Linked DNA regions of Canis lupus familiaris. The protein of the gene in region 4 interacts with the protein of the main gene of each other region in a biochemical or structural test. Links are inferred from orthologs where the notes say so. Each region holds a gene or a part of one and is shown on either strand. Other genes may lie near its edges. The genes, in order: UBE2V1, RIPK2, RIPK1 and BIRC3.

Region 1 (7,720 bases), on a different chromosome or scaffold from region 4:
CCTCCAATCTCGGTGCCGCCCAATTCAGTCTTTTCCAGGTAGTCAGGCTGCATTTTGCACAAAAAAAAGCAAACCCACCCACGCTTTGCTTCCAACCTCCCAGGCTCCACAGGTGCCCCGGGGGTAAGAGAACTGAATTCCAAACCTGATTTTACTCCTTCCTTGTTGCGTGATCCTGGGAAAGCATTCTAACGCTTCCGAGCCTCAGTTTCCTCATCTGACAAATAGAGATGATAAAAGCTACTTTGCGGGGGTCACTAAGGATTAAATAATAAGAAAAATAGTAGCTAATACTTATATAGCCCTCGCTCTTTTCTAAATTCCTTCGTTCCATTAACCATTTTAATCTTCCCAACGAGCCAATAAACAGGACTCTTATCCGCATCAGCTGAAGCTACCAGGTCCAGCGCGAGGCAGAGATGCGGCGCAGGCACCGGAGGAATCCGGCTCTGGGGACCCGCTCTGACTTCCCAGACAGAGGGCGGAGCCTCTCCGAGGGAGCTTCGGCGGAGAGGACCACAACTCCCGGCAGGCTCCGCGACGCCGCGAAACTACAGTACCCAGCATGCCCCCGGGCGTCAGGCTTAACCTATTCTCCTGCGAGGTCCTCTGCACAGGAATTTGCTTTACTGTCAGTTTTGCTTGCCAGAAATTCCCTACGAGAACCAAGGAATCTATGCGAGCAAACGTTTAGGAGCATCGTGGATAAGTTGGCTTGTGTTTCCATCCTCACTCCTCCACCTGTTAGCTCTGAGTCTTTCTCATCCTTACCGTGCGGTTATCCCTAGAATTTGCTGCATCCAGCTGTTGTGATGAATAAAAACTGGATATGAAGGCTTGGCAAATATCAGCTGTTGTAGTGTCTCCTCCTCCCTGTGTGCTAGAAGGTTTTATCAAAGCATTTTATCTCTCCAGCAACTCTATGAGGTTGATACCATCATTCCTCTTTTCAGAAGGAGGGGATTGATGCCAAGAGAGATTCAAATCTCTTGCCTGAAGTCACACAGCAAAGAGTAGGTGAAGGAGCACTGGAATCCAGAAAATTTCACTTCAGAGGTGAGTTCACTTTAGGAGACCAAATGCTTCCCACTTGCTACTTGAGGCTTTATAACAACCCAAAGTCCAGGGCAAATATTTTCTGTATTTTTCAAGATAAATTTGAATCACGTGATACACAGACTATCAAGTCGATTCCCTATTGCCAGTGCTTTGAAGGAGACACACATGGGGCTTTAAGAGTCAATTATAGCTGAACTGGACCTGGAGAAATCAGGGAAAGCTTCCCTGAGGGGGTGATGCTGGATCTGAGAACTGAAGAGTGGGAACAGCACAGGCAAAAGCCCTGAGTAGGGAGGGGACATGTACTGCAGAGAGGTACAGGCAAGTCTCAGAGGTACCGGCTGTGCCAAGGATGAGGGTGAGAGGTACCCAGGGTGCAAATTTTAGGAAAGTATTCACTTGCAGGATCATGCAAGTGCAGAGCTGAGACCTAAGGTTAAAAGTCTCCTTAAATGAGGCTTGAGTGTAAGTCCTAGACACCTCAGTGGTCTCACTGGTCTCAGTGGTCTCACTGGTCTCACTGGACCCTAGGCGCATGGCCTTTGGTTAGGGTAGCCATCCACGGTGGTTTGCCCTGAAGAGTTCTGTTGTTCTGGCCAGATAATACTAGGTCTCCTTTTCATCTGATGATTGTCTTTGTTGGATGAGAATTCATGCAACTTGTAGAATCTGTATTTTATCACAAGGAAATGGAGAGCCACTGAAAGATTTAACTGAAAGGTATTTTGAGCAAATTTTGGCTGCCATACAGAGAATGGATCATGGGGGCAAGAATAAAGGCTACTGGGGTCACCCAGGTGGAAGACAAGGGCAGCCTACCCTAAGTGGATGAAATAGATGGAGCTGAGAAATGCTTAGGAGGCACTACTGTCAAAACAAGGTAATGCACGGGATGTCCTGGATAAGGGCTTCCGGTTTCCTTGCTCCTCTGTACTGGAAGTCCTTGTCCTTCTTCTGCCAGTGTTTAGCTGTGTGACCTTGAGGCAGTCCCTTCACCTCTCTCAGCTTGTTTCTAAATCCACATCAGGACTTCTTAGACCGCTTATAATAAAAGATCAATCCCTTCTTGGATTTAACATACATTTGCAAATATGTGTCCATAGGACCTTTGCACATGCTGTTCCCTCTACCTCTTAATCAGTCTCTGCTGAATGTAACCACCTTAGGAGGCCCTCCCCGACCACCCCCTGCTGCCCCTTCCTAGGTTCAATCTCTATCCTATCATAGTTATATCTTTTCCTATTTCTTTGTTAACTAGCTCTCTGACTAGAATGTAAGCCTGTAAGAACAGACTTCAGGGATGTATATCCATTCCCAGGACCTAGCACAGCGCCTGGCACATAGTAGGTCTTAGTTAAGTATTTCTTTGGATGAATAAATGGATGAATGAATGAATGAATGAATGAATGAGTGGAATGCTTTCCTTGACACCTTAATGCCCCAAAACAAAGCTTCTCTGGCCCAGGACTCTGGCCGGGTTTCAAATTCTGATTCAGCCACCTAACCGCTAAGTTTAGATAAATCGCTGAACCTGCCCCTCAGTTTCATTTTTCACATTAATCCCGACCTGGTAGAGATATTGTGAGGATCCAACTAGACAAGGAAATGCACGAAGTAAAATAGGCTTTCTTTTCTTTTTTTCTTTTTTAGCTTTCTTCTGTATCTTCCACAATCGCGTCCTCCCAAGTCTGATCACCCTTGCCTTTCTCACCAAACACCTCAGTATCTCCTTCGCACCCGAGCCTGGAGGAACATGCAGGTTGCCGGGCCCTCCCGCACGCACATCATGTTTCCTTCCTCTGAAAAGGCAGGGAAAAAAAAAAAAAAAAAAAAAACCTTCCCGGCAACGGGTCGCGCGGTCCGCGGAGCGGGCGTCAGCAGCGGCGTCTGCGCAGGCGCGCACGCTTGCGCAGAACGGCCCGGGGACGGGCGGGGGGTGAAGAAGGGGCCGGCCTTCGAGCGACAGCGACGCAAGATGGCAGCCACCACGGGCTCGGGTGAGCTGGGGCGCCGGGCCCGGCTGGCCAAGGGGGCGCGGGCTTGGGCCGGGGACCGAGGACCCGCAAAGGTCCCTGCGGCGGGACCAGGGCCTCTGCGTTACCTCTGTCCGCTTGGCTCCGCGGTGGCGAGCCGGGCGGCCTGAGGGGGGAGGAGGAGCAGGCGGTGGCCGGAAGCACGGGCGGGGGCCTGAGGGGCCTGTGGGCGGCGCGGCGGGGCCCACAGGCTCCCCCGGGCGACGTGAGGGCCCGGCTGAGAGGAAGGACCGGCCCCAAGGCACCGCTGAGCGGCCGGAGCTAGCGAGGGGCGAGCCCCGAGGCATTCCTGAGGAGACGGAGGCTGGCGGCTCGGCGGGGACCAGGAGGTCTCCTAGGGGATGAGAAGGCTCCCCGAAACGGATGAGAGTCCTTTACTGGGTGCTGGAGGTCCGAGCGACGGGGCAGCCCCGGGATGTCCGTGTGGCAGGGACTTGAGAAAAGCCCTTAGGGAGGACGGGAGGAGAAAACGGGGTCTCGGGGGGTGACCGAGGATCCTGCATTGGTTGAGGGGACGGCTTCAGCGTTAGTTTGGGGGATGGGGTCAGCTGAGGAAATCTCCGTGTTGGTCGGGAAGGGGGCGTCTTGAGGTGGCTTTTCTGGGGGAAGGGGTATCAAAGCGCATCCCAACGGGACAAGTGAGAAGGGAAAAACGATCTCTCAGGTTCCAAAGGGATATGATCCCGTCATCATCAGGCTTTTACTTGAGGAGGATCAACTGAAGGAAGCTCCATGCAGTGGGTGAGAGTGAGGAAAAAAGTCCTGTTTCAGAGATTTTTTTCTTTCTTTCTTTTTTTTTGGGGGGGGGGGGGAGAAGCGTCCTCTAGAAGTGTCTGTTTTGTGGCCATTGTCACTCCCTAGCACTCCTTTGGATGTTGGTAAAAGATACGTGGGTTCAGCTCAGAGGTTCCCCATTTAGTGGATGGGCATGGGGAGAGGGACAAACGAAGACTCTGGATGACTTTGGGGCAGGAAAGCTGGACAAACCCCCATCTCCATGAAGCAGAAGAGGAAATAAAGGGAGCTGTACTTTGAGAGAGGGAGGTTCATCCAGTGCCTTGTGGTTTGAGGGAGGCAGCATTTATTCTGAGACTCGATTCCTTGTTCTGCACTCCTAGGATGGGCCGGAGGATCAAATCCTGAAGGGTCTGTTTCAGAGTTAACGTTCTACAAATGGACCTCAGGGGATGGACTCAGATGGCTTTCTCGAGGAGGAGGGGTAAAGATTGGCTGGGGGAGGTCCCCCAGAGGGGTTGATGAGGCAAGAAAGATTTTGGAAGTGCAGGATTTGGGGGAAGACTGAATGTCCCCCTATGGCGAGAGAGCTGTACTCTGAGGTACCAGGGATGTTGGCCAAGGAGGTCCTCACAGAGAGGGTGATGATGAGGGAAGCAAGCAGGGCCACGAGCCTGGGTACTCAAATCCTCTGGTTAGTTAAGGCCACAGCATCAGCACTGTTAAGAGAGGCTTGGTGACCTAAAGGAAACAGGGTGAAGGGAGTCCCTCTTTCCAGGGTGTTGCTCCTCTAGTACCCCCAAGAAACCATCCTTGTCTGTTACTGTAGCAATAGAGAGAATTGGCTCTAGGGGATCAGACTGAAATGACCTATCACAAGCTGCCTTTTATACTTAGAGCAGTGGGGTCCCCGATGAAGCATAGAGGAGACCACATATCCTTTTCCTAGATTTTGATTTTTAGCTGGAATAGTGCTGAGTCAACTCTTTTTTTTTTTTTTTTTTTTTAAAGATACTGCCACAGAAGAGAGAGGCTGAGTCAGGCCAGACTGCTGTGAGAAACTTCTCACCATAATAGCACCCCTGTCAGGTTGCTGTGAAGTGGGGGCTACAGTGTAACTGTGGCAGCCAGCATTATGGTCATATTGCAGCTCAGCCCAGTTTGCAGTCACTTGAGATTGGCTACCTACAATCTGGTTTAACAGCTACTTAATTCTAACTTCTTGAAGCCCTGCCAATTGATGAGTGCTTCATAAATGCTAATGCAGTCAGATAAAACATCGTCAACTCCTGTCTAGTGTCAAAAGCACTTGGCATGGTGTAGATAGCATAGAACAGGCTTTAAGGTGCTCTAAATAGTGGGCTTCCGAAAAGTCCTTTGTTTATTCAACACACATTTACTGAGGGCCTGTTATGTCCCACTGTGAATAGTGGACAAGATAGACATAGCCCCTGTCCTTGAGGAGCTTACATTCTAGTCAGGAGGAAAGCCATTCAAGGACTAAATAATTAAGCCAATTTCAGATAGCAGTGCTATGAAGGAAATTGTGTGATGTGATACAGAGTGATAAAAGTAGTATCAGGGAAGGCTTCTCTGAGACGATGGCATTTGAACTGATGTAAATGATGGAAGGAGCCAACCCTGCAGTGTATATCATAGGCAAGAGAGGTAGAGACAGTGAGTGCAAAGGTCTTGTGGCAGGACCAAGCCCGGTCTGTTGAAAGAACAGGTAAAAGGCCATAGTGTGCACAAGAGGCTTGTTAAGGAAATAAGTTGGGCAGATATGGCTTTAGGTTTTATTAAGTGTGAAGGGAAGCCCTCAAAGTGGCCAATATGAAGTAGCATTAGGTAAATACTCATTGAATGGATGAGTCTTAATGACAGGGTGCCTGGCTGACTCAGTTGTTAGAGCATGTGACATTCAAACTCAGGGCTGTGAGTTTGAGCCCCACATTGGGCAGGGAGCCCACTTTAAGAAAAAGAGAGGATTGACAGGATCTGACCTGTGCCTCTATGCAGTGAAGGAGTACAGAGTGCTGAGAGTGGAAGCAGAAGGGCCATAATTGGGTTAAATAAAAATGAATGTTCAGGCCTCTGCTTTCTAACCATGAGAAGTCTTTCAGGTTGTTCAGGGACCTTGAGGCCTTCCTTAGTCAGGTTTAGAAGAAGCCACTTGATTAATCTATGCCCCTAGTTGCCAGGAAACAGCCCTGAAGTCTTTGAGTTCAAGTTCCTGTAAAGGCCTGGCCTTCGTTTTTTGGTGGTGGTGGTGGTTTTGTTTTTTTTGGGTGGGGGGAGGGTTTTTTTTTTTTTTTTTTTTTTTTTTTTTTATGATCAGTGCTTTCTACACTTTGCTGCAACACCTTGCCACCTCCCGTGGTTCTGCAGTGCATGAATTCTGCATAGATCCTAGAGCATGGTACTGTGAGGAGCCTATGAGAATCCCTCAAGATGCCAGTGCTGTGACAGGTGACTTCCTCCTGCCTTGGCCAGGATTGCAGAATCGCAAGCCCTTGGTTGGCAGGCCCTTCCTTTCACCCAGCATCCTACAGTCTTCCCTGACTGTTAACCAGAAACCTGAGTGCCAGAAGAATAAGCCCTGGCTGGGCCTAATTTTAAATTTGCATTCACTAGAGTGGCCTCCTCTACACACTCGGCGTATGCAACTTTACCCATATGGGCAGTGGAGGTTAAGTAGTCTTCCATTCCATTCATGGGTGTTCCCAGAGAGCTGATGATGGGATATGAGAACCTGTAGTCTGTGAAGTTGATCTTGTTCCTGTATGTCTCACTGTGTAAGTATCTTGTGCTGATTGTAGCCAGCTGCCTTTTATACAACGTGGGCCCTGTGTTCAAGAGAACTGCCTTGTGATACTTAGTGCTCAGCTGGAGCACTCTGCTCCGGTGATGGTTGGTCCAGTACAACCTATTACTCTGTTCAGGGTGTCCCAAGGTTAATTTTGATGGTTATGATTTTCCCCTTCATGGTAACTTTCAAACCATACTTTTCACTCTACCACATTCTCTTTCTCCCTCCCCTTGTCTCTCACCTGGATTGTAGCTACAGTGCTTTGATAAAAACGAAATACAGAATATGAAGTCAGGAATCCTCTGTTTAATTCCAAAAGGCCCCAGTGAAGTACAGAGCAGTACATTTGGTGAAGTAAACATGTAACACTCTAAAACACTTTGGAGGGATCCCTGGGTGGCGCAGCGGTTTGGCGCCTGCCTTTGGCCCAGGGCGCGATCCTGGAGACCCGGGATCGAATCCCACGTTGGGCTCCCTGCATGGAGCCTGCTTCTCCCTCTGCCTATGTCTGTGCTTCTCTCTCTGTGTGTGTGTGTGTGTGTGTGTGTGTGTGACTATCATAAATAAATAAATAATAAATAAATAAATAAATAAATAAATAAATAAATAAATAAATAAAACAAAAACAAAAAAAACACTTTGGAGTTTCCAGGTAATTTGACTTACCTGTTATGTCATCTCATCCAACACTCCACAACCGCATGAACTAACCAGAGAAAATTTTGTCCCCACAGCATTACTGAGGGAAAAGGGTGGCTGAGTGATGGCACTCAGACTAGAGCCCAGGGGGTTTGGCTCCACCTCCCTCTCCAACCTGCTCCAGTACCATAGGAAAGAAATGGAAAGGCATGCATTTTTGGCGTGTTCTCTTCCTGGGTCTTGGAGTGTTTAATCTTGGTGAGAGAACGGGCTTTAATGAGAAGGATCTGACAGCTGTAGCAGGGACTTACAGCAGCCCTGGCCACTGTTTGTCCCATTCTGGGTAATCTGCTGTCCAATGAGTATGATGTCCATTTTTAAGGAAGCTCTTTCTTATACCTTATATTCTGCTCACCGGACTTGGAGCCCCTCATATCATTTACAA
Region 2 (7,254 bases), on a different chromosome or scaffold from region 4:
GAGGGGAGCCCAATGGGGACAGAACTCGATCCCAGGACCCCAGGATCACACCCTGAGCCGAAGGCAGACGCTCAACCGCTAGCCACCCAGGCGTCCCAATATTTATTATTTTGAAAACAGTTCTGATTTTGTGACTTCTTCTCAAAGTCTCAGAAACCAACAACCCCAGGGGTCCTTGTACCACACCTTTAGAACAGCTGATCTGTGAGAATGGAGTAGTAGATGTGTTTGAGAAGCATTACAGAATTTTTTTTTTAAGATTTTATTTATGTATTCATGAGAGGCACAGAGAGAGAGAGAGGGGCAGAGACACAGGCAGAGGGAGAAGCAGGCTCCATGCTGGGAACCCGACGTGGGACCCGATCCCGGGTCTCCAGGATCACGCCCTGGGCTGAAGGCAGCGCTAAACCGCTGAGTCACCGGGGCTGCCCAAGCATTACAGAATTTTTAAGTAGTGTTTAGTGTTCAGTTTTGGCAATCAGTAGATTTTAAAGAGTTTATTTGAGAGAAAGAGAACATGCATGAGGAAGAGGAGGGGAAGGAGGAGAAGCAGACTCCTCACTGAGCAGGGAGCCCGACATGCTGGGCTTGATCCCAGGACCCGGGGATCATGACCTGATTCCAGGACCCCAGGATCGTGACCTGAGCCGAAGGCAGATGCTTATAACACTTAACCCACTGAGCCACTGCCCTGACCATTACTTTAAAGAGAAAACCAATAAATAACTCCCACTTCTGGCCAAGATGGAGCAACAGGGTTTTATCTGCCACTCTGCCTAAAACAATTAAAAAAGCTAGAAAAAAACCAAAACAACATGACACAATGGGTTTCAAGATCCTAGATACCAGGCAACAAAGGACAGCGATCACTGAGAGACAGGACACAAATCAGGTGAGCCTTATGATTTCACAAGCTTTCTGTGCTGAGAGAGTTTCTAGCTGCAGCTTAAGAGGGAAGTGAGGCGAGGCTTCACTTCTCACTTGAGTGGAAACTTGATTAAAGAGATGGGGCTGAGAGTCTGGGTAGACCAAAGCAGACAGAGAGAGAGGAGAGGAACAGAGAGAGAGCTCTGCCACGTGCAGAAGGCTCCTGTAAGTATTCAGCAGTGCTGATCAATGCAGGGTGAATCAGGCAGCCAAAAGTCTTTAAAGGACAACAGGGAAAAACCAGGAAGTCTGTAGAGAGGTCCTGCCTAACGGTATGGTTTTGCAAAGGAGCTAGGATTTTTAGAGAATGGAAAAGAAAAGGAGTATCTGGAAGTGGCACTGGGGCAAAGGAGATATAAACCCTCCCACGTAGCTCTGGGAAATAAATAAAACTTGAATCCATTTACAAGCAACTTTTCAGTTTTTAAACATAGTACTGATGTGCGCTGGACACAGATTTTGAATGAAAAATATATTTCACTGCTTTTTCAGTTAGAAAGAGGATTCCCAGTCTGTGGCTTATCTTTTCACTTTTTTCTTTTTTAAAGATTTTATTTGTTTATTCACGAGAGACGCAGAGAGAGGCAGAGACATAGGCAGAGGGAAAAGGAGGCTCTCTGCGTGGATCCTGATGTGGGACTCGATCCCAGGACCCCGGAATCACACCCTGAGCCACCCAGGCGTCTCATCTTTTCACTTTTTCTTAATATCATCTTTTGAAGTACAAAAATTTTCAGTTTTTTTTTAATGCCCAATTCTATTTTTTTCATGGATCTTATTTCTGATGTCATACATAAGAGCTCTTTGCTTAACATAAGGTCATAAAAACTTTCACCTAGGTTTACATTTAGATGATGATCCGTTTTACCTCTGAAATAAATCTTAATTCTATCTAATTTTTCTATCTAGGATTACCACCTTAGTTAGTAAATTGTGAAAGTCTCTTACCTGGTCTCTGCTTCCACTCCTGCCCTTAAGTCAATTTTCCACATACCAACAAGAGTGATCTCTCCAAAACTTAAATTAGGTCATGTCACTTCCATATAAAACACACTTTAACAATGATCCATTGTAGTTGGAATAAATTTCTAATCTTTTTATGATGGCTATCCTGGCTCTCCTTATCTCTCCAATCTCATCTCATAAAATAAAAACAGCAACTGAATTTTTAAAAAAAGGAACTTTAAGCTTGCCATCTAACTTGTGTAATTTTTCAAGAAATATCTTATTCATAGTATATTCACTATTTTTTTTTAATTCAAAAGGTCCTGAATAAAACTGTATACTCACTTAAGAAAGATGGTCTTTCATCTGGATTTTGTGCCCATCCACTTTCTATTAGAGAGATCATAAGTGCTCGATGAGGTATATCAAGTGGCAAACTTTCTTCATTAGTGTTTGGTCGATGTCCTTGTGATACACTATACATGATCTGCAAAGGATTGGTGACTTCTGTCAAAACAAATATATTTCATTCATTAGAAATATATTATGATTCAATATATTACTTAAATATATTCTAAAGTCAACCAAATGAAAAAAAAAAACAAAAAAAAAACAAAAAAAAAAAACAAAACAAAAAAAATAAAAAATAAAAAAAAAATAAAGTCAACCAAATGAAAATGAGGGAAACTTAAAATCTTAGGAGTAATGCATTGCCCCTAAGATTTTAAGAGAGAGTTATCTCTCTCTCTCTCTCTCTCTCTATATATATATATATATATATTTATAGCCTCACCTCACCTAATTAATTTTAAGCTTGGTCATATTTCTGATTTGGTCAATGGGCTATGAATAGAAAAGACCTTAGTAGAAATGAGTGGAACCTCGCATAGCCAAGAGTGGCCACTCACACCTACTGTGAATGAGAAATATATATTTATTTTGTAAGCTACTAAGATTCTAAGGTTGTTACACAGCAAGCTGACCCATATAATCCTCAAAATAAAGAAATGGACAATGTTATCAGAAAACTTAAAAATTCTTCTTCAATGTTTGCTGGCTGTTATGGAAGAAGCACTAACTAAATTTTCTAATTAAGAGTTTTAGAGCCTGAATGAATCTTAAAAATAAAAGTTCAAAATTTTCATTTTGCAAATAAAACAATGAAGACCCAAGAGATTTAGTGGCTTGATCACAGAGGTAAGTACCGTCAGAACAAGTACTAGACTCTACGTATTTCTGACCCTTAATTCAGTATAATTTTCCAATATACAGTGGATTCAGAATTGATAAATTGTTTTCATAGCGTGTTTTCCAAAAAGTGAATGGTAGGCAAATTTGAAATAAGATAGGCTTTATTTATATAGTACTGGATGCGGCCTACCAACATGAAGTCATCTAGAATGAGGATATGAAAGTACACTTACCTTCAAAAGGCTGTTTTCTGGATAAGACTTCCCATGTGATCACTGCATAGCTGTTTAAGATAAAAATATTACATACAAGACATTATAAACTGACGATGCATAATAAACTAAAACAGCACTGATTTTAAAAGTTGACTGTGGAGATATCATTTTTGCAAGTGATAAGGTAGTGAAATGCTATATAAAGAATCACCATAGACAACCAAGATGATGAATATTTACATACAGTTTTGTTTTAAAAGGGAATTAATCCAATTTGAAAAATTAGCAAATTACTGTAATAAAAATTTGAAGTTCTAGACAAGGATAATGGGATGATTCTTTAATGACCTCTACACAATTCTATTATTCACACAAAATAAAAAGCAATAAAAAAAAGATGGCCTCATGTAGCTCTAGTCTATTGACTTTTTTTTTTCTGGTCTAAGTACTGTCTCCTTGGTAGTGTTAACTGTTAACCACAGTTTCCCTCCCTCCTCCCTCCATGTCAAATAAGAAAAAAACCTTTTAGTACTATATTATAAATTGACAGGACAAGATACACTTTAAAGATGCCTTCCTTTCAGCTACTTTTACATCACTGAAAAAAATTTAATTTGAAAAATATTAACCACTGTGGCCTCTATTTTTATCACACTTATGAGACATAGACTAAAAATCACACTTTAAAATTCAGCTTCAAAATTCTGATTAATATTGTTTTTAGACAAGCCAAAGTAATATATTATACCTATATATATCATGCTTGACACTGGCCCTTGATTTTTGTCCAGGTTCATAGTTCTCAGGTGGCATATAGATAATTGTCCCTCCTTCTGGTGAAGATTTACTAGTTCGTGATTGTGAGAGGGACATCGTACGCCATTTTGATAAACCAAAATCTGCGATCTGTAAGGGAAAAGAGTAAATAATTGAATTTAAACCTTTTTTTTTTCTTTAAAAAAACCAAGAACTGACTCTGTTTGTATTCATTGTATTCAGGTATGAGAGCAGAGAAAAAGTTCTATATTAATGTTTTATTTCTACATATTGTATCAGTTTCTTAATAAATTAAATTCTTGAGTACTGAGCCCAAGTAACTCTAGAAGTAATACATACTGACCTGAAGTTCAGCATAATATCACAAATTTTAAAATGGAGGCTGAGTTTTAAAAAAACAGCAATATTTTTTGTCTTAAATTCTGAATGAGCATATATACCAAATACTACTTTTTAAGACAAGTAGTTTTGCGGCATATGCTGCTACACTTCACAGAGCTGCTAAACTACTGGTATCTAATATGAGTGCCCCTGGGCATTGTTTGCAACTCAGGTTTATATGTTCTTATTTACGATGTCCTGAAAATAGTAACCTTAAATTCTGAGGTAAGTAAAATTCTAATATAGCAGAGGTCATTATTACATGATTTATGTTTGCCCCTAAAAGAATCATATAAAGCATATTTATGTCTATGGCAAGGATTGCTTAAGGAATTATTGGTGACATTTTATACTTTTGATATATCCTCTATAGTTTTGCTTCACTTATAAATTTTGTGCAGATGTCACACAACATCTTATAACTCTCTAACCTTTTAAATAGGTTCCTTGTTTTTTTTTTTTTTTAATCGAAGACAGAATATGAGAACAGAAACAGTGTTTAAAAGACAAAAGGGTATAGTAAATCCTTAAAAACATTAAATTTAAATTACTTAGACCTTCACGTTGCACAAGTTAGGGTAAACAGAGGGAAATGAACTCTATCCGGCATACCGTTTGTGTTTCAATTATTTGGCCCTTATATTTTTCTGCTAGTTTTAGTAGAAGAAAATTTGCTTAGTGTTTAGATGATTTTGATAATAAAAAAATATTATGGCCCCACGCCAAAGAGAAGAGATAGACTATATGAATTTTTTCATATATTATTAAAATAAAAGGGAAGTCTAAGGAAAAAAATAGGAAAGACCAAGAGAAAACACGGTGCCAATACATACATGAAGAGCTGGATTGATTCTGAAAAGCAATATACCATGTGGCTAAGAACATGAGTTCTAGAACCTAGATTATTTACATTTATATTCCAATTCTACCGCTTAATTAACTGTGCGCAACTTGAGCAAGTTTTTAAATTTTTCTGTGCTTCAGGTTATCCATCTGCAAACTGGGGATGATAACACCATCTACACTGCAGGGTTGTAGTGAGAAAATTAAACAACTTGTTCTAAGCAAAGCACTCAGAATAGTAGTATCACATAATAAGTGATCCTCATGTGTTAACATTATTAATGTTTTGTATATAGGTTGCTCTTACTCAATTTAATCTGTTCTTCCCACCTACCCTCTAAAATCAAAATCAGCACTACAGTTGCTAGAATAATATGCATTACTATGATAAGTAGAGTTTATTTTTATGCCGCAAGTGAAAAAATGCTAAAAAAAAAAATCTGAGATGTGGTCTCACCTTATACCTGAACCATAATTTGCAAATTCCTGGGCTAAATGTCGGCTTGAACACAGCGTTGTGGAAACTGTATTCCTGAGCTTGCTTCCTTATGTGCTCCTTCACCCAAGATTTTCATCTTTGTTTTCAAACCTGACCTAAAAACCTTAATCAGAATTCTCTCTCTATGAGCTGATTTAGTTTGGCTTTCATGTAGAACTCCACTTTTCCCCTTTATTACAAATATCATTATGAATATTATTATTATGAAAGGCATGACTCATTAAATTTGGATCTTCAAACAGAAGGAAAAAAATGAATAATGTGAGGGAAGGAATAAGAGTTCTAAGATTTCTTAAGGTCTTGATAAATTTATCCTTCAGCCATGACGACAGAGAATAAGAACTTACCCATTCTACCTACACAAGATCTTAACATGCATTTTGAAGCTAAAGGCTTTCTTTTTAAATAAAAAGATGATTTTAAAGATTAGAGGAAATTAAAACACACTACTCATAAAAATCATCCACAATCCTAGCACCCTATTAGAATAGCTATTTTTATTTACATACACTATCCACATCTACAACACTATAAAGTTATTATCAGTAAGAAGTTATGAAGAATAACTCTGAAGTATTCTGGTTTCCACTTAGGACCAACAGAAGAGCAGAGAAACCAAATATGGCATATATAAATATTTTCATTTCAAAGAAGTCTATCACTGGTTCATTTGTATCTAAGGTACACTAATGGACACTTGGCAGATAATCAAACAATGTATTCTTTTTAAAGCAGAAAAGTATCAGTTGACCTTAATCAGGAGTAAATATTTTTCTTTCAGATAACGTTTCTGGTCAACATTCCAGTGAGAAAACTTACTTCAGAAAATGATAGCAAGGTGTCAATTTCCATTTAATTTCATTAAGTATTTTTATTTATTTATTTTTTTAAAGATTTTATTTATTTTTTCATGAGAGAGACAGAAAGAGAGAGAGGCAGAGACCCAGGCAGAGGGAGAAGCAGGCTCCATGCAGGGAGCCTGACGTGGGACTAGATCCAGAGTCTCCAGGATCAGGTCCTGAGCTGAAGGCAGCCGCTAAACCGCTGAGCCACCTGGGCTGCCCATAACTTCATTAATATTTTTAAAGATATTTTGCAATTCATTTAAAGAAGAAGATGGGTAGATTAAGTAACTGCTACTTTTCCATGAGTCAGTGATGAACTTTGACTTTTAAAGGGACATTTATAAAGTAACAAGTAGAGACACGTAAATTGCATGTAAAAGAATGCCGCTAATTTATAGGAATAGTATTACAAAGTTCACAGTTCTGTACGTACTGAGAGTAATAAAAATTATAAAAACTAAACAAAGTCAAACTATTCTAAATTCTATTCATATTAAAGAAAGACCAAGGACATCCTGCTGATCAGTGAAAAGAAGAAAGTAGGAATCATTCCCTATTTATTACTTTGCTTTTGTTTTCTCTATTAAATATAGTTTCCAGACTGAGATGAAGAAAGTAAAGTCCAAGGACA
Region 3 (7,880 bases), on a different chromosome or scaffold from region 4:
ATGAATAAAATCTTACAAAAAAAAAAAAAAAAGGAAGGAACTTCTGACACACACCACAGCACAGAGCAACCCTAGACATTATCCTGAGTGAAACAAGCCAGGCACGAAAAGACAAAAACTGTATGACTCCACGAGGTGCCTAGAATCGTGCCTATTGATGTAATGATAGAAATAATAGAATAAATTCATAGGGATGAAAAGTCAGAAGGGTGGCTGCCAGGGCTGGGGGAAGGGGGATGGGGAGTTGGTGCGTTTTAATGGATACGAAGTTTCAGTTTGGGAAGATGAAGAGGTTTTAGAGATGGCTGGTGGTGCTGGATGCACAACACTGTGAACGTACTCAACGCCGCTGAACTGTACACTTAAATAAGGTTAAAATGGTAACTGATGCATTATGCATATTTTAACACAATTTTTATTTATTTATTTTTAAAGATTTTTTTTATTTATTCATGAGACACACACAAAGAGAGAAAGAGAGGCAGAGATACAGGCAGAGAAGCAGGCTCTATGCAGGGAGCCAGACGTGGGACTTGATCCTGGGTCTCCAGGATCATGCCTTGGACTGAAGGTAGCGCTAAACCGCTGAGCCACCAGGGCTGCCCTTAACACAATTTTTAAAAAGTTAATTATGCAGAAAAAAAAAAAAAAAAAGAAAGAAAGAAAAAAGAAAGAAGAGGGCCTCATATAACTTCACATTTTTAAGAGGGATGGTATCTTTTCATCGAACAAAATGTGTGAAATCTAGAAAGTCTATTTGAAATCACAAGTAGAACTCAGGTTTCTGAACACTTCAACTTCCTGACAACATCTTACCAGGAAAGTCACCTCACTGGCAATGTACACAGTCACAGAAGATGCTCTTACCAGCAAATGTTGGCCGAATTTCGGGTTTTGCCTCCCAGCATTGCTTCATGATGCTGATAATCTCCTCTGGGCAGTACTCAATGATGTCCTCCACATCTGGCCTGTTCCCAGATTTAATGCACAGTATCAGCTGCTGTTCACAGATAGCATCTATAAGGCAAAGAATTTACGTTGATTTTTTCCTCAGGTCCTGCGTGTCTTAGGCAGGAAGGCAGCAGAACTTGGACAATCCTGCTGATCTCCTCTACCTAGGGTATGCTTTTAGGACGGGCGCCTCATCTGTTAGGGGCAGAAGGACCCTCTGACAAGGCACTGACATATTCTACTGCCCAGATGATCAAACGACATTTTAACCTCTGCAGAAGAAAGAAAGAATTCACAACAAAGTGGCCTCCTGGTAGAATAGAATATACAAATAAAAACAATGGCAGACTCCAGACTTTAATACAAAGGCGAACATGGAACAGCTTTTACCCGTAAAGAACTAAGTTTATTGAGAGGGACTTAAAATACAGATTGGTAATGGTTATTCAAAAATTAAGTACAAAGGTTTCTGCTAACACAACCATGATGAGAAGGTCAGAGAAGGCTTTGCTGCATCAAAAAAAAAAACTAGAAGGATTTATCGATAAATCAGGAAGGAGGACTCAGAGAACAGGATTCCAGGATAGGGGGGCAGGATATGAATAGCTTGGAAGTCTCCAAAATCGTGATGTATCCTAGAAATTATGCGTAGTTCTCAATAACTGGGCATATTGACTAAAGAAAGAGAGGTAAGGAATAAGGCTAGAGAAAGATGGAAAAGCCAGAGAGGGCCTTGTATTCCATGCTGAAGAATTTGAACTCTATACTGGAGGCCCAGGGAGCCTTGGAAAGATTATAAATAGATGAATCAGATGGTCATACTTGTCTATTAGGATGACCAGCCTGGCTGCAGGGTGAATGGGGAAATGAGCAGCCCTCAGTAGAAATACGGATGGTCTGAACTAGAGAGTCTGGTGGGGACAGAAGTGGGGGGATTCAAGATGGATCTTGAATCATATATATACCTTGAATTCATAGGTTTTGAATGGACAAAGCTGAGACCGGAATGCCTACAGTTTCTGGTTGGGCAACTGGTAAGTGGATGCTGATGCCATTTTCTGAACATGAGCAAAGCTGAGTGGACTACAAGGAGCACATGTAGAAGATGAATTTATTTGGGGGGATGTTGCTTTGGGGATCCTCTGGCATGTGTAATGGATCTAACAGATAAATGGATATCCAGGCCAGGGATAGAGATAAGAGATTTGAGAGGCCCTGGCAATGGGTGATCGATCATTAAACTGGGGGAGCTGATAATCACCCAAGAAAATAGAAATGGAAAATGTCCATTAATTTAGACATTTAACAAACTGAAGATGTGTGTATATATATATATGTATATATATACTTTTGTATCCATTCTCCTCCATGAACATGTATCTGTTCTCATCTTTTTTTTAAAAAAAAAAAATATTTTATTTATTTATTCATTCATTCGAGACACACAGAGAGAGAGAAAGAGAGAGAGAGAGACACAGGCAGAGGGAGAAGCAGGCTCCACGCAAGGAGCCCCATGTGGGACTCGATCCCAGGTCTCCAGGATCAGGCCCTGGGCCAAAGGTGGTGCTAAACCGCTGAGCCACCCGGGCTGCCCTGTTCTCATCTTTTTATTCTTGTATCTTGTATCTCCATGTATCTGTTCTCATCTTTTTATTCTTAATTCTGATTAAAGTACCCCTAGTAAGTACTAAAAAGAAAATTCTCAAGTGAAAGAGCAAGTGAATAATGAATCAAAGTATGAAGTATATGCCTCATAAGCAGAAGGAAGTAAGTTTTCCTGTCCAGGAAGAATCCTGGAATTTTACAGCACCTCCCAAATACAGACACATCATCATGGCTCCTATGTGTCCTGTGATCCCTGATTCCTAAACCGAGATTACTCATGCATTCAACATAATGGTACTGCACACCTACTGTGTTCCAGGCACTGTGAGATGAATACTGGGGAAATAGTGCTGAATAAATCAGATATGGTCCTAGCCCTCGTGTAGCTTGTGGTCTCGTGGGTAAGAAAGACCTTAAAACAACAAACAGTTGGAAATCCTAACTGCCTTCATTGAAGGCCAATATTTCACTCAGCAGTTTTGATTAATAGCCAGATCCCACTCCTCTATAAATGTCTTACTTTCATATGGCTCCTTATTAGCAAATATCGCCCAAAGTACTATGCCAAAGCTGTACACATCTGACTTCTCCGAGGGCTTGGCGTTGATGTCATTCAGATGCTCTGGGGCCATATAGCAGAGGGTTCCACCATTTTTCTTAGAGACACTATTCAATTTCCTCTGCTCATTAATTTCCTCTTTAGTCAGTTTACTCCACGTCTTAAAGGAAGCAACGCCAAGATCAGCTATCTGCAAGAGATCAAATCAACGTGATTGTTCTATGAGAGCCAGAGGCAAATTAGACTTGTCTTTAAATGTTGGGCTTAACTAATAGATGCAAGGTATAGTGAATTTCCAGAAATTTCCACTAGATAGATTTAAAACAGCTACTTCTGAACAAGTTCATAGAAACTTTGTTTCCTCAGCTATCTGGAAAATGTCCCTAAGATGTGTCCATGTGAAATTCTGGTATTTGAATTCTTATGCAATAAAACCATGTAATTTGCTAGGGGAAGGGGAGGGAAAAGAAAAGCAGAAGTCATTTCTGACATGAACTACAGCAGAACGTGTTTATTCTAATTCCTCATTTACTCTGCATACTTTTTTTTCAACTATTTCTGGGGCTAGGAAGAAAAGGGGTCTTCTCAGCAGATGTGTATAGCACATGGGGACTAGATACCGCACCTTCAATTTTCCCAAATGGTGTCCCGAAGCCCATGGATGCGAGATTCTAAGAACTCCAAAGTCCTGAGGATACAGACTGCTGTGCTACTTGTTTTGAGTTGGTAGCCTGAACCTGAGAGAAGATGGGATAGGAAGAAGGAGAAAAACCAACAAGGAAACCAAAAGAAAAATACAAAGGTCAGACACAGAACAAAGAGAGAGGTGGCAGGGCAATGATAGAACAGGGAAGGATAGAACAATACAGTTAAGAAGAAATCAGAGGGAACAGTTTCACTTTTGCCTCTAGGAATCCAAGCATTTGGGTAGATCATGTGGTGATCTAAAATCCCCCGATTTTAACCTAAGAGATACATAAGAAATAAGTGATTTAATGTTAAAGAGGGAAACTTCCTTTTAAAGTTATAGGAATAAGAATCTGTCCAAGACTAGAAGGAAGCATTAGAAGCAGAATCTCATAGTGGAGGGACTCTGAGTCAGCAGCTCCTGCGCTCCCCACCATTGCTGCTTCCCCTTTCAGATTCTCGTGCTTGGATTCCTGCTGCCAAAACCAATTAGATGTGATGTTCCACCTACTTAAATCTGCTCTTGGGTGAACAAAAGGAAAATCCCCTCCCCTTGTTCCCTTTACTACAATGGAATAAATTATAGTTAAAAAAAAAACTGATAAAAAACGTAGATAACATTAATAAAAAAATAAATAATATGAACTCCATCGAGTCCGTATCTTTCTTGTGAATCCTTGGCACCACCGTTCACCAGTTCTAAGCTGAGCGAGGTCTTCCTTTAGTGTTTATCACATACAAAAATGGGTTTATAGCAGAGAATTAAAACTAAAACCCCCCTGGGGCACCTGAGTAGCTTAGTCGGTTAAGCATCTGCCTTTTGGCTCAGGTTATGATCCCAGGACCATCTCAGGTTAAACCCTGCATCAGGCTCCCTGCTCAGGGCGGGAATCTGCTCTTTGCTGCTATCTCTGTTGCTATCTTTGTCTCTGTCTCTCTCTCTTTCACAAATAAACAAAATCTTTAAGAAAAAAACAAAACCACCCCAATCTTCTAGAAACTTTCAGATTCTGATTTACCTTAATGTGAAAGTCATCATCGACAAGGATGTTTTCAGGCTTTAGGTCCTTGTGTATTACGCCTTCTCCATGGAGGTAGCACATCCCTTCAATGGTCTCCATAATTATCCTTCCTTTTACAGAAAGGGGGATACTGACCTAAAACAAGGGACATTAAGTCTATGACATGGAAAGGTAAGTCAAACAGGCCAAAGCAACTGTTTTATTCAAGGTTGTGGGGTCTGAACCTGTGGATATCCAGATCCTCCTCGACATACAATGGAGTTGTGTTATGTCCTAATAAACACATCACAAGTTGACAGTATTATGAGTTGAAAATGTGTTTAATACACCTAACCTACCAAACGCCATAGCTTAGCCCAACCTACCTTTAATCTGCTTAGAGCGCTTACATTAGCCTTAGTTGGGCAAAATCATCTAACACAAAGCCTATTTTATAATAAAATGTTGAATATCTCAAGTAACTGACTGATAGTGAACAGCAAGTGAAAAACAGAATGGCTGTGTAACAGAATGGTCGCGAGCATGTTGGCTGTCTACCTTGTGATCACACAGCTGGCCGGGAGCTGTGGTTCCGCTCAGCGGCTGCTGCCCCAGTATCATGAGAGAGGACTATAATGCATATCATTAGCCCAGGAAGAGACCCAAATTCAAAATTCAAAGAATGGTTTCCACTGAATGCCCATGGCTTTTGACCATTGTAAAGTGAAAAAGTCGTAAGTCGAACCATAAGTTGGGGACCATCTGTAGTCACCAGGATTCCTTCTACTATGCTTTGCAGCACAGCTATCATTTTAAAAGAAGCCTCCTTTTAAAGAAAGATTTCATCCCATGTGCTAAGGGTATTACTATTGTGTTCTGTCCTGTAAAACTAAAACTTCCACGCTAATATGGAAATATGTTAAAATGCTATAAAGTTAAGCTCTTTGAGCGCAGAACACGATGATGATGGCGATGATTATAATATACATCCTTACTTACTACCTAGCATGGTGCCTAGAATTGTTGTTGAATGAAGGCATAAAGAAATAAACAAAAAACCAATTATTTTTTACAGTCCATTAGTATATGCTACTATATATTAAATAGACGAACAATGTCACAGAAACGTGTGTATGAAATCATACGAGAAAAGACAATATGAAAGAAATGTGCTGATTACACTGATTACAAACATTTAAGATGAACCTATGAGGTAACATGATGTTAAAACAAGGCTGAAGTGCAGTGGCACTGCTGGGGATTTACCCCAAAGATAGAGATGCAGTGAAATGTCAAGACACCTGCACCCCAATGTTTATAGCAGCAAAGTCCGCGATAGCCAAACTGTGGAAGGAGCCTCGGTGTTCATCGAAAGATGATGGATAGAGAAGCTGTGGTCTATGTACACAATGGAATATTTCTCAGCCATTAGAAACGACAAATACCCACCATTTCCTTCAACATGGATGGAACTGGAGGGGATTATGCTGAGTGATAAGTCAATTGGAGAAGGACAAACATTCTATGGTCTCATTCATTTGGGGAACAGAAAAAAATAGTGAAAGGGATTATAGGGGAAAGGAGGGGAACTGAGTGGGAAAAATTAAAAGAGGGAGACAGACCATGAGAGACTCCTAACTCTGGGAAACAAACAGGGGGTAGTGGAAGGGGAGGTGAGCAGGGGGTGGGGGTGAATGGGTGACGGGCACTGAGGGGGGCACTTGATGGGATAAGCACTGAGTGTTATATGTTGGGAAACTGAATTTAAATCTTAAAAAGAAAAAAAAAAAAAAACATAAACGAGACCTGATACCACGTTCACTAGGAAACAAAAAACAAAACAATGCTGAAGTGAATAGCTGCTTGATAATTTCATATCAGATACTTCAGCAAGTCTTTGTAAATTCAGAAGTCACTTACTTACAATTGTATTCTAGTTATATAAATATTAATGCTATTACAGAGAATTCCAAAACATTAATTTTACTTAACACCGAAAAACGTAAACTGTATGTGTGCGTGTGTGTGTGTGTGCATGCATGCATGCATACAGTCCCTACAAATGGGCTGTTCTCTAAAAATTTACTTATATGTTGGTTGTTGGTAAACTGGACAAAAATTTAAATGATGGAAGTTAGAGTCCAAGTCAACCCTCTAAACCATATTTAAAACCCATAATGTGGCTGATTTGGCAGCCTGATCGCCACCACCCAAAAAACAGCAGGAGATTTTCCCTCCTTCCTTGGTATACACCTTTGGACTTGGGAAAACATTCGGAGTAAGCAAAGAAAATCCCCTTCTCATTTTCCTTTCTGCTCTTTTCCCTGACATCCTCCTGGATTCTTCTGGAGCCCAAACTAGTCCACTTATCTCTGCGTCTGGCAGGATGCCTCAACGCCTACTACAAGCAGCAGCTGGTCTAACCTGGTTTTGGGGAGAAGAGCAATCACATCCAACCACAACACAACGTGCATAAGCCACACTCTTAGCCTTCCCACCGGTGCCTGTGAGAGCTGCCCAGGGCTTCGAGGAATCGAAGAAGGGACAGAACCTTGGGCAGTTGTAGGGCTGGGGAGAAGGTGGGGAAAGGGGGGTATCTGCCCTGCAGACAGCCAATCCCACCAGGCCCACACGCCCTCCATGCTCGGGCCAAGTCCAGTTCTTGACGGTGTTCCAAAATTGCTGTATTCTCTGTCCTTCGCCGTCCTCCCGCCAGGAACACGTGCTCCCTAACTGCGCCTGTCCTTCAGGCTTTGGCTCAGGAACCGTCCTTCTGGAATCCCTCCTTATCCACCCCACACTGAAGTGAGTACCTGTCCTCGGTGTCCCCACGGTTGGGGGATGTACCTGTCCTCGGTGTCCCCATGACTGGGGGGATGTACCTGTCCTCAGTGTCCCCACGGCTGGGGGGACGTACCTGTCCTCGGTGTCCCCAAGCTGGGGGGATGTACCTGTCCTCGGTGTCCCCACGGCTGGGGGGGATGTACCTGTCCTCGGTGTCCCCACGGCTGGGGGGGATGTACCTGTCCTCGGTGTCCCCATGGCTGGGGGGATATACCTGTCCTCGGTGTCCCCAC
Region 4 (7,254 bases):
AATAAGGAGTTTAAGACCAAGAGTAATTTTGATGGCTTTATTAAAATGTTCTTCACAGAATTCTTTGCAAAACCACCAAGTCCCTAAAAAGTCATCCAACAAATATCAAGACCTACTACATATAGGACACTGATCAAGAAAGGCAAACAATCTGTGCTCCTGTTTCTTCATAGGACTCCAAAATATTTAAAATTCTGAAAGCTTAATTCAAAAATTTAAACTTCACTTACGATTTCAGTAGTGTTGAAATTCTGATTCAGTATCATGCTTGTAGTGCTCTGTCTTTTCCCACGTGAACAAAAGCCTATCATTCTAACATACATATGGCTCATATGTTTTAGCTATATATTTATATAAAACAGTTCTGAGTTGCAAAATAGATTTAAAAATCTTAAGGAAACCAACCATTCCAGAGGTCAAAATTATAATACATTTAATCCACTCTTTCTAAATTAGACAAAGTCTTGGGTCTTTTCAGGAAAGAAATGTACGAACTGTGCCCCTGACTGTGCCTCTACAAATAGGACATTTTCTTAGGGACGGGGCACAGTCTCTGCACACCACCAGGTGACCACAAGGAATGAACACGATGGACACTTCTTTGTCCATGCACACTTTACACGTTCTTTCTTCTTGTAGTCTCCTCAATTGCTCTTCCACTGGCAAATCTAACAAGAGAAAAGAATGGTTAAGGAGAGGCAACTTACTGCTGCTTCTCCAATGAAAAGCCAAGAAAATAAAACCAATAATTTGTACTGGTTTAAATTATCAATGCTATTTTACCTGAGATGTCTTCCGTGGGAATATACTTTCTATCCTGTTGTACTAAGGGAGTAAAACAAAAAACATTACTAATAACAAGTAAGGCTAATATTGAGTCACAAAATATATTTTTTAAACTAATAGTTTAGACTCTAGCCAAATGCTATAAATGACCATCATCATGTCAATGCAACAGAACTCTTTCATCTTTTAGATCGAATTATTTTCAGTATTTATTATTTTCATAATAAAGAATTATTAAGAGCATATTTTTTAGTTGAATTGAATTGAATTTTAAGTTCCAGTGACTTAGCATACAGTGTAATATCAGTGTCAGGTGTACAGTGTCGTGATTCAGTTTCCATGCACCACCCTCGCTTGTCACATTAAGAGCATATTTTCAATTGACCTAGAAAGTTCCCCAAACTAATTGCAAAACACTCACCAAAGAAACGCTTGTATAACATGGGGTCAATTTCTTGCAGAGAGTTTTTAAATATGGTGACTGCAGAACTTCCCTTTACTAACACGGTATCGATCAGCTCTCTTGCTTGTAAAGATGTTCGTGCCTTCTGTTTAATAGAACTGTGTTCTTGCTCATTAAGCACCCCGGCCATTAGGAGACTGTCCAGGATTGGGAGCACGTAAGTCAAATGTTGGAAAAGCACCATTTTGTTCTTCCGGATTAATGATACATCATCTTTATAAAAAAGAAAACAAGCATGAACACGTTTCAACTCTGCTCAAAGGCTTCCTTCCACATATACACATAACTGAATGGAAAACCCTCAAAATTCATGATCCATTGGGCACCGCAGGGGATGCTAGGTCCAGGGGTTCCAGGATGAGCACCCTGTCTGTCATGTGTCCCTTCATTCCATGCTCCCAGCAGCCACAGAGGGGGGTTCCAGGGCCCCCACTTAGCAGAGGAGGAAACAGGCTTGTGAGGCAAGGGAACTGCGCAAGGACACACAAACGGAGGCAGTCTGGTGTCACAGGCTGTGTCCTCAGACATTCTGAACAACTGCTCAACCTTTAACCAAGTCAAAATCAGAGTCTGATCAAACTAAAATTCCAATTCAATCTAGTCAACTTGCGGAAAGATAAAATCAAGAGATTAAAAAGGACACAAAGTGTATTTCTTCAATTATCATCCACCTGTAAAAATTTCTTCAAAATTCCCATTTTAAGATGACATTTTAACTATTTCTCATATTAGACTGGATATTGCCATTACCCAAATTTTTTATAATAAGTGGGGAAAGGCACCAACAGCATGTTAAAGATTAAATCCTACTTGTCAGGTGATAACTTTCTGTCCATAGGATCATTGTATTTGTCGCTGAGATCCAGATTTTGTATTTGTTGGTAAAATATTTTATATTTTGAAACTCTGCAATTTTATTATCTCCTTGGACTTTAACTTATGAATCTAAGTTTATTCATTATTACACAATTTTACCATGATCCTTAAGGCTCTTTCTATGAAATAATTAATGACAGAAGTGTGGCTGTCTAAAAAAAGAATTATCTGGGGGAAGATGATGTTAGATTTTCGAAACACTGACTCTGTCAAGTAATAGGAGATAAAAACAGAACCATTCAATAAAAAATAAAAAAAAAATACCGCTTAGTAAAATAGTCAAGGTCAAAGATACACATTTTGAAGATAACTAGAGCTCTGGCAGTAAATGGGAAAAGGAAAAGGGCCTAGGTGGTATCTACATAAAGTACCTGCTCCATAAATAGCTGTCGATCAAATGAGCCATAGTAATGTAAGGAGCAGAAGGAATAGAGAGGTCATGGCCAGAGGGGTTAAGAATTAGAACCTAATACATTTGGTGAAATCATCTAATAGAGAAATACTGATATACCAGAAAATTAACATATAATTTACACTTGATGTTGATGTATATTCATTTTTCCATCCAAGATTTCTTTTTTAAAAAGATTTATTTATTTATTAGAGAGAGAGAGAGAGAGCAAGAAAAGGGAGGTCGGGGGAGGGGCAGAGGAAGAAGCAGATTCCCCTCTGAACACAAAGTCCAATGTGGGGCTCAATACCAGGACCCTGAGATCATGACCTGAGTCGAAATCAATAGTTGGATGGTAATTACATTTTACTTAGACTATTGTAATAAGTTATCTGAAATCCTTAAGATTTCTAAAGTCGTATTGCTAGTGGTTGAGCAAAAAAGACTCATTTCAAAGTCATAGACTATTCTGGCTTATAAGAGGTAAAGACTTGAATATACCTTTGAAGCATATTATTCTTTTGCTCTGGAAATGAAATCCTAAACTGCCTCTTTATTTACACACCTGTCAAGAAATTATTTACCCGCTGTTCTTGGGAAAACTATAAAGTCATCAGTAATCTCAATGAAATATTTTCGTTTATTCATTAAAGCAATATTTCTTGAGCACAGACTATGTGCAGACTGTGTGCTGGACAGTGTAGACATAACAGAGAGTGCAGATGCTACAAGATCTTTTTGATGATGCAAATTATTGTATTGTTGATTGCAGACCGTTGATTTTCTTTGAAAGAAATACAAGTGTTTTGAGGTGCCTGGGTGGCTCAGTTGGTTAAGTGTCTGTCTTTGATTCAGGTCATGATCTCAAAGTCCTGGGATCCAGTCCCAAGTCAAGCTCCCTGCTGAGCAGGGAGTCTGCTTCTCCCTCTGTCCCTCCCCACCACTCATGTTCTCTCTCTCTCAAATAAATAAAATCTTTTTATAAAAAAGAAAGAAATACAAATGTTTTATAGCTGGATGGCTTTAGACTTCATAGGGTCTTCAAACAATTGTAGAGGTGGGTATTTTCTTCTTCCAGGGATGATGACCAACAACTAAGATGGAGAAGACCACTGCAAGGATACACAAAGATGAGCTTGGGCTCCGTTGCTGTTCGTGTTGGTGGTTTGCAGAATTGAACAAGTCACACTTTGGTAAAGGCAGGATCTGTTTGTCCAGATTGGCCAGAAGACAAATCCACCTAAGGAGTAGGCTTATCCAAACCTGGAGTTGATGATCTGCCAATCATCTTTGGCAGAAATAGATCCCAGATGGCACTGGACAAAGTTAAGGGGCAAACTCTCTGCCCGTTCTGGGCTTTGGGGGTATTTGGGGGAGTGAGCTCTCCTAAGAGAAAACATGCTTGGGACTAGCCTAGTCATTTGTGTAAAATGGTCAGAGCTATATAGCGATGAACCAGAACAGATGCTAGGCAGAGAGATTCTCGAGGATGCCTTTAAGGGGACTAAGAGAGACCCAAACAGCTAGAGTTGTCGACTGTCGTCCATGATGTAAACACTCTGCTGTTATTCCCAAATCTCTAGTAGGAGCTTCTGAAAAGTTGCAGTTTGCTTTAAACTATATTGAAAAGACTTATGGATCTGGTTCATGCTTGTCAAAGAGCAGCAAAGGAGAGAGGAGCATTTCTGTTTGTCTAGGCCAGAGTAACGACAGCATTCAGAGTGACCAGATGGGGATGGATATGCCTGGAGGAAGAGAGTCTTTGTGAAGGGCCACAGAGCAAAGGCCATATAATGGCAGACAAGGCTAGCATGGAGGGACATGGCTACCTTGTCTTGAGAGAATGTGCAACAGTGTCCTCACCCTCCCCTCAAGAACAGAAGGACTCCCTCAGTTCTTATATTGGCTGGCAGGAAACATAATCATAATTTGTACATTAACATGTGTTATTAATGCTATAATAATGTCATTGGGGGAGCACCTGGGTAGCTCAGTGGTTGAGCATCTCCCTTCGGCTCAGGTCGTGATCCCAGGTCCTGGGATCGAGTCCCACACTGGGATCCTCGCAGGAAGCCAGCTTCTCCCTCTGTCTATGTCTCTGCCTCTCTCTCCATCTCTCATGAATAAATAAATAAAAATCTTTAAAAAAATAATAATGTCATTGGGCTGAGACACTCTGTGATGCTAATATTAAAATAATTGTCCTTGATCCCACCCTGATTTGCAGCAAAGGAGAGTGAGCCTGGGATCACAAACAAGCCTTGATTACATATGCAGTCAACAACTTAGAGTAAAAATATAAATTAAGAAAATGCTTTCACTCAATACATACATTTTCCACTGACTAATGAGCAATTCAAATACAGTGTAATGTAAAAAAAAAAATTCCAGAATTCAAATTGAAAACACTAAACATAAAACTTGATTGCCCTGACAAGGAGTATACTTTTAGTGACTTACACATGGTGGCATCATATCCACACAGAGACAGACACCAATCAATGCGGATATGTACCTGATTCTCTGTTCTCAGCTGCTCTTTCTTTCTCCTCCTCCCTTATTTCATCTTCCACGTGGAGTAGGTCAGACACGATCTCATTAACCGTTCTGTAATTCTCTCCAGTGCTCAGGATCTTACTCTGCACAGTCTGCCTCACCAGGCTCCTACTGAAGCCCATCTCCAAGGCGGCCATCACCACCGGGGTGTTCATCATGACTGCATCCTCTGAATGGTATTCTCCAGGTCCAAAATGGACAACTACATGGAATAAGGGATTTTCCACATGTTGGGAGAGTCTGTATATCTTTTGAATTGAAAGTTATTACATTTCAAAAACATAAAGCCCAGAACATATAGGCATTGTTTTATACTAACTTTGTTAAATTTAAAATAACAATGTACATGTTCAGTCACTAAATAAGAATATGGAATAGCGTATTATGATAGAAAATATGCATTACCAGGCATAACTATGAGTGGGAGAAAGGAACAGAAGGTTGGATATCACCATCCACTCAGCATTCTTTTCTCCCTATGATGAATGAACAAATGAGCTTTCTAAATCAAGCACGTGTCACATATTTTTCAGAGAGGCCACTGTCCTCACTCATGCCATCACTGCGGGGCCTCCTACCATGCCCTCTCCTGTCTCATTCCTTCTCAGCAATGCCACCAGAGTGGCTTTTCACAAACACAAATCCAACTGTGTAGCACTCCTTCTGAAATCTCAGCAACAGTTCCATTGTCCTCACGAACGTTTGACTGTGGCTCATAAGACCGCACACGATCTGGCACAAGATCTGGCACAAGATCTGCACACTCACCTCTTCAGCCTCATCTCCTACCACTTTCTCCTTCACATGCTATGCTCGAGCCCAGAAGTCACAAACTGATGGCTCTTGGGTCAGACTCTGCCTGTGCAGCATTGATCATTCAAAGAACTCTGCTTCCTTCGCTTGCCTGTTCACAAATCCCACCTCTGGTCATACAGAATTTTGTTCAGTTCTTCAAATGTGCCTGTTCTTTTTTGTCACTTAAGACTTTCATAGGCTGTTCTCTCTGTCTAGAATGTTCTTTTGACAAATATTTTGACAAATATTCCTCTGTCATCTGGCTAACCCCTACCCTTCCCAGGTTTTCTGTGCTAAGACGAATACCTCCTCTGGAAAGCCTTTTCTCATGTTCCAAAGTCCGGGTGCACGGTCCTTCATGCATTCCCACAGCACACCATGCTTTACTTTTCCATACCCCTCTCTCCTACCTGTGTACTTGTCTGAATCCCCTGGACTGTTGGCTCACAAGAGCAGGAGTTATATTTACTCTGTTCTGTGTACTTTCCTCAGAATAGCAGGCACACAATAAATATTTATTGAATTGAATTAAACACTAGATAATAGAGTAGAACAGCCTGTTCAAATATTGGCTCAATCACCTTTTAGGTTTAGCCTAAAAAGACAGGTCATTTAACCTATCTGAGCTTCAGGGTCCCTCTTGAGGAATAAGAATAATATTTTCTACTATCTTCATTTTATAGAAATAATATGTGAGCGAGCTAATGTCAGACTACCTGTGTTCCCACAAGGTCTGAAAATGAGTGTGAGGCTGGATGCATGTGGTCTGTTAAAAAGACATACTCAAATCCCACCCTTAGATGCCATGGCTCAATATGATAGCTTTAAAGTGGAGACCAGAAATCTGATTCCTTAGGCAATTATCATGAGCACTAAAGTGTGAGAAATACAAACTTAATGAATGTGAGAGTGCATTATAAAGTATAGAGTGTCATATGGTACAATAATATGACCATTATCAGCTTTCCATCTCCAGAGTAACAATGGTTCTATTTAAATGCAGTAATTATTGTCATTATACTTACTTGGTGACTCAGTATTTTCATCCTCTGTGTTGTCTGAGGTAGATAACAACTACAGGAAAAAAATTGTAAATTAAAATATAAGTCTCAGCCTGTCCATTACAATGTACATGAGTCAAGAAATCTATTTTATTCAATTTATTGCAGACTGACTTGCTTACAGGCAAAATGATTTTTTATCTTGAAAGCAGTATTTTGTTTATATTCAACAGTTATTCTCTACACCATAAACTATACTTCATAGAATCTATATTCGTGAAGGCAAGAAAAGGGCTATATCTTCTCAGTAATCTATGAGACAATTATGGTTTGCCTTTCATCCCAAACATCTTACATTTCCTGGGTCATCCTTTGGAATAAGTTGT

What was found.
Region 1: the proteins of BIRC3 (region 4) and UBE2V1 form a complex in vitro, tested with the Homo sapiens proteins (2 studies listed by BioGRID). The link is inferred for Canis lupus familiaris from reciprocal best matches to the Homo sapiens genes BIRC3 and UBE2V1.
Region 2: the proteins of BIRC3 (region 4) and RIPK2 form a complex in vitro, tested with the Homo sapiens proteins (2 studies listed by BioGRID, with this or other methods). The link is inferred for Canis lupus familiaris from reciprocal best matches to the Homo sapiens genes BIRC3 and RIPK2.
Region 3: of the proteins of BIRC3 (region 4) and RIPK1, one has a biochemical effect on the other in vitro, tested with the Homo sapiens proteins (5 studies listed by BioGRID, with this or other methods). The link is inferred for Canis lupus familiaris from reciprocal best matches to the Homo sapiens genes BIRC3 and RIPK1.

The regions. Positions count from the first base shown.
Region 1 is NC_049245.1:37,220,937-37,228,656, reverse strand, and holds the start of UBE2V1 (ubiquitin-conjugating enzyme E2 variant 1), read left to right. Parts: upstream 1-3,018; 5' UTR 3,019-3,034; coding exon 3,035-3,056; intron 3,057-7,720. UniProt on the Homo sapiens protein: Has no ubiquitin ligase activity on its own. The UBE2V1-UBE2N heterodimer catalyzes the synthesis of non-canonical poly-ubiquitin chains that are linked through Lys-63.
Region 2 is NC_049250.1:35,937,449-35,944,702, reverse strand, and holds part of RIPK2 (receptor-interacting serine/threonine-protein kinase 2), read right to left. Parts: intron 4,185-7,254; coding exon 4,027-4,184; intron 3,347-4,026; coding exon 3,297-3,346; intron 2,380-3,296; coding exon 2,218-2,379; intron 1-2,217.
Region 3 is NC_049256.1:4,665,625-4,673,504, reverse strand, and holds the start of RIPK1 (receptor-interacting serine/threonine-protein kinase 1), read right to left. Parts: upstream 4,943-7,880; 5' UTR 4,822-4,942; intron 3,853-4,821; 5' UTR 3,741-3,852; intron 3,306-3,740; 5' UTR 3,189-3,305; coding exon 3,077-3,188; intron 1,018-3,076; coding exon 868-1,017; intron 1-867. UniProt on the Homo sapiens protein: Serine-threonine kinase which is a key regulator of TNF-mediated apoptosis, necroptosis and inflammatory pathways.
Region 4 is NC_049226.1:29,466,479-29,473,732, forward strand, and holds the end of BIRC3 (baculoviral IAP repeat-containing protein 3), read right to left. Parts: intron 6,942-7,254; coding exon 6,893-6,941; intron 5,275-6,892; coding exon 5,032-5,274; intron 1,463-5,031; coding exon 1,208-1,462; intron 826-1,207; coding exon 784-825; intron 669-783; coding exon 475-668; 3' UTR 462-474; downstream 1-461. UniProt on the Homo sapiens protein: Multi-functional protein which regulates not only caspases and apoptosis, but also modulates inflammatory signaling and immunity, mitogenic kinase signaling and cell proliferation, as well as cell invasion and metastasis.